3 linked regions of the Callithrix jacchus genome follow. The protein of the gene in region 2 interacts with the protein of the main gene of each other region in a pairwise test. Links are inferred from orthologs where the notes say so. Each region holds a gene or a part of one and is shown on either strand. Other genes may lie near its edges.

The links.
Region 1: the proteins of HOXA1 (region 2) and CHRD interact in binary tests that used the Homo sapiens proteins (3 or more experiments, as listed by UniProt). The link is inferred for Callithrix jacchus from reciprocal best matches to the Homo sapiens genes HOXA1 and CHRD.
Region 3: the proteins of HOXA1 (region 2) and RGS20 interact in binary tests that used the Homo sapiens proteins (3 or more experiments, as listed by UniProt). The two-hybrid records come from large-scale screens. The link is inferred for Callithrix jacchus from reciprocal best matches to the Homo sapiens genes HOXA1 and RGS20.

Annotation. Positions count from the first base shown.
Region 1 is NC_133516.1:13,356,870-13,360,619, reverse strand, and holds the start of CHRD (chordin), read right to left. Parts: upstream 2,398-3,750; 5' UTR 2,389-2,397; coding exon 2,241-2,388; intron 2,050-2,240; coding exon 1,946-2,049; intron 1,501-1,945; coding exon 1,371-1,500; intron 1,215-1,370; coding exon 1,086-1,214; intron 995-1,085; coding exon 895-994; intron 770-894; coding exon 682-769; intron 322-681; coding exon 180-321; intron 78-179; coding exon 1-77. UniProt on the Homo sapiens protein: Dorsalizing factor. Key developmental protein that dorsalizes early vertebrate embryonic tissues by binding to ventralizing TGF-beta family bone morphogenetic proteins (BMPs) and sequestering them in latent complexes.
Region 2 is NC_133512.1:31,001,693-31,004,936, reverse strand, and holds the end of HOXA1 (homeobox protein Hox-A1), read right to left. Parts: coding exon 2,799-3,244; intron 2,328-2,798; coding exon 1,996-2,327; 3' UTR 555-1,995; downstream 1-554. UniProt on the Homo sapiens protein: Sequence-specific transcription factor. Regulates multiple developmental processes including brainstem, inner and outer ear, abducens nerve and cardiovascular development and morphogenesis as well as cognition and behavior.
Region 3 is NC_133517.1:807,155-810,838, forward strand, and holds the start of RGS20 (regulator of G-protein signaling 20), read right to left. Parts: upstream 2,886-3,684; 5' UTR 2,781-2,885; coding exon 2,619-2,780; intron 1-2,618. UniProt on the Homo sapiens protein: Inhibits signal transduction by increasing the GTPase activity of G protein alpha subunits thereby driving them into their inactive GDP-bound form.

The sequences.
Region 1 (3,750 bases), on a different chromosome or scaffold from region 2:
ACTGAGAGTGAGCAGAGCGATGCCCCCTACGTCCTGCTGTGGGGGGCCTTCTAGTGTGAGGATGGCACTGAAGGTCTCTGGGGAAGGGATGATGACAAGAGCCCGTCAGAAACCTCCCTCCCCTTTCCTGGGGACAGAGAAGACTTGGAGCTCCACACCCGGGGCTCTGTGCTCCCTACCTGCAGCCAGAGCTCGGTGCCGGAGGAGAGGCCCCCAGACCTCCCCCGAAGGGTGAGTGAGTGTCACAAGTGCCACATGTAGCTGTTCCGCCCTAAGGAGCCGCAGAGACAAGCGAGGCACTGCCCGCCACACTCCACAGACCTGGAGCATAGACAAGAGGGCCCTACGCTCAGATATTGCGCTGGCTAGGCCAGTTAGCAGGCCAAGGCCTGGTGAAAAAGGAACATGGGAAGGAGCCTCCAGGGTGCCCTAGGAAGCTTAAGAAAGAACCCCGGAGCCAGATGCTTGGGTTCCAGCCCTGGCTGCACCACTTGCTAGCTGTGTACTTCCAAGAATCCCACCCTCCTACTGAGCCTCAGTACCCCTGTCTGTAAAATGGACATCATCCTGTCAGTGCCTTCTTCCCACTGGGCTGTGGTGAGGACCACAGAAGGCAATGCAGAGAATGCTCTCAGCACAGTGCCCAGACTGGACCAGTGCTCACAAATGGCATCATCTCACCAGGCCATCTTGGGTGGGGGCTGCAGGGTGCTCAAACAGGACACTGCCATTGGAATCTGAGAAGCGGACCCTGGTGGGGCGGTCCAGCCTGGGAATGAGAGGTCGGGTGAGGCCGGTCAGAGCCAAAAGCAGCTCCTCCTCCCGGCTCTCCCAGTTTCCCTCCCGGCCGGCCGGCCGGCAGCTGACCCCTCCTTGCTCCTTCCCCTTTCTCACCGCCTGTAGGAGATGGAGAAGCGGAGGCTAGAGCGCAGCAGCGAGACTCGGGCTCGTGCTACCGCCTGCGACCTTGGCCCTGTCAGCAGCGCCACGAAGTCTGGGACAGGAGGAAGATGGCCTGAGCACTGTCAAACGCTGCTTTGGTGGCCCAGCCTCAACCACAACCCCAATGTCCACCAGCCCCCTACCCGTGTGGCCGTCACCACGGGCCCGCTCCTCAGTGCCTGGCTCTCCGTGGTCGCTGTAACTGCGATGCTCCGGGTCCCTCGGATACTCGAAGGACAGGCCGCTGGGCTGCGGCTCCGAACTGCTGCGCTCTGCGAAGAGGTGGGGGGGTGGTTCGGGGGTGGAGCGGGAGGGGAGCACGGGCTTCAGCGGGCCCGTGGTAAAGGCCAGTCTGCCGCCCCATCCAAGTGGTTCGGGACCTAGCATCAAGGCCCGCAGCCCTCCCCGCAGGGCGGAGCAAGCTTTACCCTGGGGGCAGGTCTGGCAGCAGTGTCCCGGCAGCTGGCGCGGCTGCCCACAGGCCAGAGTCGGGCATTCTGGTTTGATGTTCTTGCAGCTGACCCTGCCAGGGCCCCTGGTACGGCGACCCCACTGAGGCTGCTCCCGGAAAAGGCGGGAAAACCAAGTGAGTGCAAGATGCCAGCTGGTGAGACCCCCGGGCAAGGATGTCCCGCAGAGTCTGCCAGCTCTGCCACTTGCAAGCTTCGTGACCCTACACAAGCTGCTTCACCTCTCTGGGCCTCACGGTCCCCGTCTGGAAAATGGGAATAATAATACTGTCTATCTAGGAAGGCTGCCAGGGGAGTTAGGTGAGCAGGGAACGAAACGCAGTTGGCACAGAGCCTCGCGCAGGGTGGGCGATCAGTCACAGTCAGCACCTAAGACTTGAAGGGGCCGGTTCCTCTTCCTCCACCAGAAACCGCCCCCCAACCTCTGCCGACTGGCCTCCTCCTCGGCAGCTCCGAGTTCACTCCGACGCCCGCGCACCCCGGGGCTCCCCACCCGCCCGCCAGGGCCCGGACCGGCTGCGGGGTGTACTCACCGCCTCGCAGGCGCACAGCACGCAGCGCATCACCCCGAAGGGTTCCCCCAGGTCCGGGTGCCACGTCTCGTCCAAGGCATAGACCTTCCCGCCGAAGGAGCAGCCTGCGGGGACGGGCTTGGCTGGCGGCCGCTGCCCTGCTCGCGCCGTGTGCCGCCCCTGGGGCTGCCCACGGGTCCCAGGTCCCGGGCGCCGCGCCCCTCGGCCCCCGCCCACCCTCCGGCCGCCAGCCGCGCCGAGCCACCTGCGCCCGAGCCCGACTTCCCGCCCGCGCCTCCCCCGGGCGCCCACCTACCTGCCGCTCCCCGAACGGGCAGCGGTTCCTTCTCGGAACGGATGGGCAGCGCGGGGGGATCAGGGCCGGCGCCGCGGGCGGGCCGGGAGCCGAGCAGCAGCAGCCCGAGGAGCAGCAGCGGGGCCGGCGGGGCCGGGAGGCTCGGCATGACGCGAACGGGACAGCTGGGGAGGCGGGAGGGAGGAGGGCGCCGAGCGGGCGGAGGGAGGGGGGCGGAGGGCGGAGGGCGGAGGGCCGGGCCGGGGGCGGTGCGGCGGGAGGGGGCCGGGGCCGGGGCCGGGGCCGGGGCCGGGGCAGTGCCGCGAGGGGCTCGTCGGGCGGCCGCAGAGTCGGCGCCGGGCCGGGCGGGGCGGGAGGAGCAGCAGGGAGGAGCGCGGGCAGGCAGGCGGGCACTGACCCGGGCCGTACGCGGCTCTACTGCCCCGGGCGCCGGCTCCGGCCCGTTTTATGCCTCGCGCCCAACGCCCCGGCCGGGGGCCTCCTCCTCAGCAAACGGGGCGGCGGCGGCGGCTCGGCGAGGGGCCGGGCTGAGCCCGGGGGGTCCGGCCCAGCGGCGGCGGCCCGGATCGCGGGTGGGGGAGGGGAGGGAGGGGCTGGGACCGGGCAGGGGAGGAGGGAGGGGCGGGGGAGGGGGAGGGGAGGGACCAGGGGGCGCGAAGAGGGGGAGGAGAGGCGGGCCCGGAGCCCCCCCGCCCCCCCGCCGGCGGCCACAGGGCGGCTGGACCAGGAGGTCGGTGGCCAGCCCAGGACGGGAGACTCTGGCCAGGGAGGGGCAGAGGCTAGGCCTGAGGCCTGGACCGCTCAGTGAGCGAGGACCCGGTTCTGTTCTGCCCGCCCGAAGGATGAAGACTTGCCCTTGCAGATGACAATGTACAAGAAAGCCCCATCAACGGATCTCCCCCCTGCCTGGGTCCACAGCACCCCTCAAACCCCACGCCAGCCTCTCACTGCCTAGCCTGCCTCCTTACCTCCTCTCTGAGGCCGCTCCTCATTCTGCTGTTACCCCCTTTCTGTGGAGTGACAGTGTCTCCCTCTCATTGTAACGTATCCTCAGACCCATTCCAATGTCCCCTCTTGCTTTCTCACCCCCTTCCTTCACCCAAGAGACCCTCTGCCTCTCCAGCCCACTCCCAACCTCCTTTATCTTGGTTCGGTGGTGGCGCCTGCCTCCCTGTCCCTCCCACCCACACACACCCACCATCCTCCCAGGCGTCCCAGCACCCTCCTTCCTAATCTTAGGAGACATCTCGTCTGGCTGAGCAGGAAAATTCCAGGATCTAGGCCACACTTCTCAGCAGGCATGCCCATCCTTGGCGAGGAGGAACGGGAGAGAGGCCGAGGAAGTTCTGGGGGGCGGGGGATGATGGTAACAAGGTCAGGCCAGGAAGCCCCTGAGGACAGAGACTGTGGGGAGACTGGGACTGGGAAGAACGAAAGGAGCTGGAGCTAGGGCCAAAGGAAAAGGGGAGCCAGCAGGGAGGTGTCTGCCGGGGAGGTCCAGCAGCTGTCT
Region 2 (3,244 bases):
ATATTGAAAGACTTCAGGGTAGCTTCCACAAGTTCACCTGGAAGTACCTGTTGAGCCCAGAGAAGAAAATAATTTTTTTCTGGGTTATGTGGCATGGAATTAAAACTGTGGATCCATTACAGCCATGATGGCTATAAAATCAAAACTGAGTCTGAAGGAAATGAGATGTGCAATCCAGAGATGGGGAAGAAGCGGGGAAGAGCTACAGGAAGGGATATATGTTGACAGGAAGAATGGGGAAAGGGATGCAAGGGTTTACTAAAAACACTACATTTAAAGGGTGGAATATATTGGAATTCTGCCTGACAACCCAAAAAGAAGGAAAAGGAGTAGAATGAGGGCCCCATCCTCACAACAGCTTTATACTGGAGCTAATTAAATGTGAATCTCTTAGCTCTTGGTTCACTGATGTGAGGAAAGACTGACTGAAGACAGTTTGGGCTTTTGAAGGGAGTTCTGTTTATATATACGTCAACATCCAGTTGGAGGTGAAAAGGTTAGCACTTGACCCAGGAAGTATCCATGTTTGTTTCAAAAATAAATCTGCTTCATAAATTTCTTCACCAGTCTTTTTTTTTCATTATGAGCTTTGATTATAATAAAGGAGCTGTAATTTTAAAGAGAATCAACCTATTAAACAGACATTGGTTAAGGGAAATTATACTCATGGGGGAGTTTCAGCTACATGATAATGGAAAACATTAACTTTTATTCAAGAAAAGTTTCATCTCTTTGAAAATATTTACCCTTCTCCCTTTTCCCACATGAAATGTGCCAATGTAGGAATTAACAAATTGTAGCCCAGCCAAATACACGGATGCTTAAGCATACCTGAAACTTGTATATATATTTATTACAGACATCCTAAAACCCGTAAACTCTGCTCTGGATCATATCACTCTAGAATCTCAGAGCTGTTCTTGATTGTACAGGAAATGGAGAATATCATAGGCTCACAAAGGATAACTGATAGAACTCAGTGTGGTACTTCGGGAACATCAAACATTGTGCGACATGCAAAAGACTTCACGAATCACACAAAATATACATTCATTGTGCCATCCATCACATTAACAATTGAGCTGAAAATACAACATATCCAGCTAAGATAACTGTGGAAGGAAGAAGTTGGTTGGAATAATACTTTTAGGTTCTGGATTATCCAGCACAAATTTTAAACGGAGGGTGGCCCGAGAAGAAAGGGGTAGGGATTAGGAGAGACTTAGCACGGGAAGCCTGGTTTCTGAACTTTGTGCTCTGCAGGCCTTCTTAACTGTAAGAACAAATTGAGGCTACCCTCTGAGGCATCCGATTGGGTTTAAATGAGGGAATTTGTTCTTTCACCTATAAGCACATATAAAATTGTACCAGTTTTGAGAGTTTGCCCACCCTGTTTTAGTAATCTAATCTAAACATTTCTAGAAAATCTGTAAAAAGATAAATCTCTCAGGACAAAGTATTTACAAACAGCAAACTCACACACATGAAACTGAATTAAATTAGGGATGAATTAGTTGTGTAAACACATAGTGCATCTCTTCTTCGTGAGCTACTGGACTCTCCTTTTACTACATCCTACTTTCAAGGGCAAGGGAGGGAAGAGCTGTACATGTAGTTAGATAAAAAGATGAGAAGATTCCCTCTGACATGTTTCTGTTGGCAAAGGGAACTATTTTCCAAAAGGGCATCTGAAAGGAACAGCAGGTTCTGTGAATTCTCCTAAAAGCAGGAGGGATGTTAAGGCCCACCAGAAAATTGATGCTGGCACCCAATCTGGATTAAGGTGTTAACCCTTACCAAGTCTCTGGTCCAGAATTATCTGCAAACACATTATCCTGGCCAGGAGCTCCCCAGATAGGATCAGAAAGAAAGACATTGTAAATGGAAAGAAAAATAAGCTAAGCGTGTGCTTTGGGTAAGAAGTCCTAGCCCAAAGAGATGCCTGGGCTGTGGTCAGGGGCTGGAGCCGCCTCAGTGGGAGGTAGTCAGAGTGTCTTAAGTAGAAGACCCCGGGGAAGGAACGCAGGGCGAAGAGCTGGACTTCTCCGAGGATTCCTCGGCCTTCTCCTCGTTTCCTGGTGGGGTGGCTGGAGAGATGGGCAAGAGACCCTCCTTCTCCCGTTTCTTTTGCTTCATTCGGCGGTTCTGGAACCAGATCTTCACTTGGGTCTCGTTGAGCTGCAGGGAGGCAGCGATCTCCACCCTGCGGGCGCGCGTCAGATACTTGTTGAAGTGGAACTCTTTCTCCAGCTCCGTGAGCTGCTTGGTAGTGAAGTTCGTGCGCACCGCGTTGGGTTGGCCCAGGTAGCCGTACTCTCCAACTTTCCCTGGGGCAAAGTGGGAAGCCATGAGACGGAAAGGTAAAAATTTTTAAATCAACTTGAAATCCCCTACACACTTCGTGGCAACACTCAGGTAAAGGAAAGATCAAGAACTCAACACAAATCGAGCTGTGGAGGGTGAGTGATAAGGTGTAAAGTGTTAACCTGAAGTCAACCATTAGCGTGGTCAGACGGTGATTAATGGAGCCTGGAGATATTAACAGACCACTACCTTCACAATCACCATCCCCACACACTTCCTACTTCCCTAATGTATAAAATCCTTGAAAACACACCAGTCCCTGAAGCTTCTTTGCCCCAACACCTCTGGGCACCCTCTCCATGCTCTTCATGCACTACAACACTAGTTCGATACAAAAGCCTTTTATTTTAAAAATTATTAATTTTATTTGGAAATTAAGCATATCAGCTCCTTCCAGATTAATCAAGGAGCATCCACCAACCTCCAGGACTGACCTGTTTTGGGAGGGTTTCTTTTGACTTTCATCCAGTCAAAGGTCTGCGCTGGAGAAGATGTCTCTGATGCAGGGGAGCGACAGGCTTCTTGGTGGCTGGCGTGGAGAGGGGACAAGGAGTTATTATACGTAGCCAGGGCCAGGCTCTGGTGCTCTTGTCCATATGAGTGGTGAATATATTGAGGCGAGCCCACCGCGCCCCCAGCATAACCCTGGTGGTGGTGGTGATGCTGGACCATGGGAGATGAGAGATTTCCAGAGTAAACAGCGGGCGCGCACTGGGGGTACCCACCACTTACGTCTGCTTCCTGATTTAACGCATAGGGACTGTAAGGCGCACTGAAGTTCTGTGAGCCATAGCTTGGACCACAACTCGAGTGGGAGTAGGACACCCCCAGGTTCCCGGAAGTCTGGTAGGTAGCCGGCTGGGGGTGGTGATGGTGGTGG
Region 3 (3,684 bases), on a different chromosome or scaffold from region 2:
AACAGCGTTGATATAAATGTAGGTTTTCCTTTCTCTGGGATAGACGCCTAACGGTAGCTGTGCATTCAGTCTTATGAGAAATTGCCAAATTGTGTTCCAGACTGGCTATACTATTTTACATTCCTATCAGCAATGCCTGAATGATTCAGTTTCTCTGCGTCCTTCCAGCAGCTGGTGTCACAGTTTTAGCCATTTTTATAGCCATTATTTTTTTCATTTTAGCCATTCTGCTGGGTGTGTACTGACATTTCCCTGTGGTTTTAACTTGCAGCTCCCTAACGGCTGACAGTGCTGCCTATCTTTTCATATATTGATTTGCCATCTGCATAAGCTCTTCGGTAAAATGCTTGCTGATGTCTTTTGCCCAGATTCTTGTTGGACTCTTTGTCTTTTACTCTTGAGTTTTGAGAATTCTTTATTCTAGGTTCAAGGCTTTTGGCAGACATGAGGGTGAAAGCATTTTCCTGCCATGTGTATGCCGTCTTTCATCCTCTCAACAGTCTTTGGCATGACAAAAGCTTTTAATTCTAATGAAGTCTGATTTATTGGTTTATTTTCTTGAACTGATCATGATTTTTTGATGTCTGTGTACTCTTTGCTTAGCCCTAGCTCATAAATATTTTCTCTCATTTTTTTTCCTAAAAGTTCTATAGTTTCACATGGAGTTGTACATTTAAGTCCATAATCCATTTGGGGGTAATTGTTACATAAACTGCAAGGCGTAGGTTGAGGATTTTTTAGAATTTCTCACTGACCCCCGGACATATAGACACATTTTAGCCCAAGTTCCCTCTCTCTGCCTCTACATGTATGTTGTTAGACCTTATTTCACATGTACCTTAAATTTCACTGCTTTCATTCTAACACCAGGCTTCTTCAATCGTCTTGTCCTATACTGATCATATTCCTTCCCTAATATCTTACTGATTGAATGTACAATTGTTATGTAGGTATCTTATATTATTAACATGAGTCACGCTGATAATATGCTATATGCTTGTCTTTCTCAATATAAAGTAAGTCTCCAGAAAGGAGGGAGCATATCTTGCTGTTTCTCTTTATTTCCTACAGCTCCTAGCCCAATGTTTCGCAGTTAGTAAGGATTCAATGATATCTGCGGACTCAAAATGAGTTGAGTGTTTCCATCCTTTACATTTGCTAGAAGGGCACGTTTCCTCTTTCTGTATTCAGATGCAATATAAAAAGATTTTTTTCAAAAGGCAAAACTGAGTGAAAGAGCCAGTAGCATCCCAAGTGGATTTCTCCCTTGCTGCTGCTGTGCAGGCTGGAGCCTATTAGCAGGTCAGTGAGGTTAGGATGGAACTTAGGCTGCTCAGCACCGGCGTGTATGGTCGATTCTGGGAAGGTGCAATACTGATTCTTAAATGTTTTTGCATTTTGTCTTTGATTCCACTTACAGCATACCTTCTCAACACACTTAGAACTCTGAAATTATATGTGTGTGCGTGCCTGTATATACATACATACATACACAACAGCGCACATACGCGTCACACAGTGGGTGTATTTGTTGTTGTTGCTGTCTGTTTCCTCAAAGTAGCCTCCACGTTCTGTATTTCAGAAACATCTTTTGCATGTGTTGCCGACATTAAGATGTCCATTAATTCGGGACTCTTGGTCACTACATCCCATTTCATTGCAGTTTCCCAAACTCCTAGTGCTCAGATGATAATTTGTGTTAACCCTTTTTATTTTTATTTTTTTCCCCTCCGCTAATGCCAAATGGTTAAAATAACATGAGAAGAAAGGGCAGATCTAGAGAATTACATAAAGAATTTGCAAATAAATGATGATTATTATCAGAATATGAACCACGGCAAGAACAGGTGAATTTTCTGGTGTTAAAGTATTGGAACAGTTTTGTAGTTTTGCAGCATTTAGTTCTGAGTGTGCGCATTGCTCATTAGACATTAACACATGTCCGTATTCTACACCAAGGAACCTTTCAGGAGATAGTTCTATTAATAGCTAAGAGGATTTACAGGCTCACACTGTATTTTCTTCAAAGACACGTGTAACATCCAGCAGGAAAACTGTCACTCTTTGCATAAATAATGTGATTACCTACTGATACAAACTCATGACGTGCTTAGGAAATGCACGTCAGGAAACTTTGATTTTGGAAAAATCAAAGTTTGGAAACCCCTTAGCTCTTTAATGTTCTTATGTTCCTTTATTAGTTTATCATTTTTTTCCTAGGAATTATTTTAGAAAGCAGTCCGTAATTTTTCTTTCAGTATTATTATATGGGATATAATATTTATATCGGCGAAAGATACCCAAGGGCTAATACCAGTAGCCACAAAATCTGTCTAGATTTGCTGAGTGTTATAGCCTGAAACATGCAAACAAACAAAAAAGCAATAAACTATCATTTGTTTTGGTAAAGGGACTCTGTATAGACAGGAGAAAATTAGATAGATCAGGTAATTACCTTCTAGGTTCTAGATTTCCCTAGGGGTTGGTTTGAAAACATTTTCGATCAAACGTTAAGATAAGTGAGCAACGGCACTAAAGCTTGCCTATAGTTTATATTCGTTCTGAGTAAACACCTTCCCTTGACAGGAAAGGATCATGGATTGTGGAGATCATCTTACCTTGAAGTCAGGCGCAGCCCTGGGGTCTCCATTTTCTGTGGTTTGGTGAATGTCTGCGTTATATCTCTGAGCCCTAAACAGGGGCAGAAACTGCGTCCATATAGACGGCCTGGAGAAATGTTTCTGGAGGCACTCTTGGCTATCTTGGGAAAGCTGGGGCATGTTTTTACAATAAAGGCCCCAAATGAGTCCTGTGGCCTGGTTATGCCGATATTAGCACAGGATCCACTCTGTCTCTCTTCGTTCGGCTAATGCTGGGCTGGCTCTGAGTCTGTGGGGAGGCTCCTTGGAAAGTTACACTAATGAAAGCAACAGGATTATCTGCTGTGTGGATCAGTAGCTTATCCACAGATCTTTCATCTTCTATTCTTGGTAGAGCTGCTTACTTGAATGTCTAGGTGCCGTATGTTATGAGTGCCCTCTAAAGGTAGAAATGTATTCTTAATTCAGATGTAATCCTAAATCGAAACGGAAAGAAATGATCCAAGTGATATACAGCTTAGCATATAGTGATAAACAGATTTCCTGGCAAAATTCTGTATTAGTGGCATGTGACAGGCAATAGTACTTGACAATCTTGGGCTGTGCAATTGACAGACAGGTGGTTGGCCCAAACTTTCCAAGTTGCTTAAAAAGTTATTTTAATTGCAATCAACTCTTTAGCTAGAAACTGATGCAAAACTCATACCCAAACTTAAACTCAAGGGTTATTTTGCTTTTTATGTACATCATGTGGAATAAGTTACATTGATTTTCTTATGAGACAACTAGACAATAAGTAAGCCAAGAATTGACTTCTAACACTACTTCATATTTATAAACTGCTTTATAAATGTAAGATTATTAAGCAGAAAGGAAAAGATAGAATACCTTTCTGTCAAGAGGTAACTAATGCCCAGGTAGCTTCTGTTGGGTTTGAGGGTGCACAAAGATAAGAGATGTATATTGCTGGGGTCTATAAACTAAAGAGTTTCCTTTCGTAAAACCGCTTTATAGATTCAAGGCAATCTCTATCATATCTCGGCTCCTTTCTTCTGCAGAAGTTGACAGTAGATTCTAAACATTC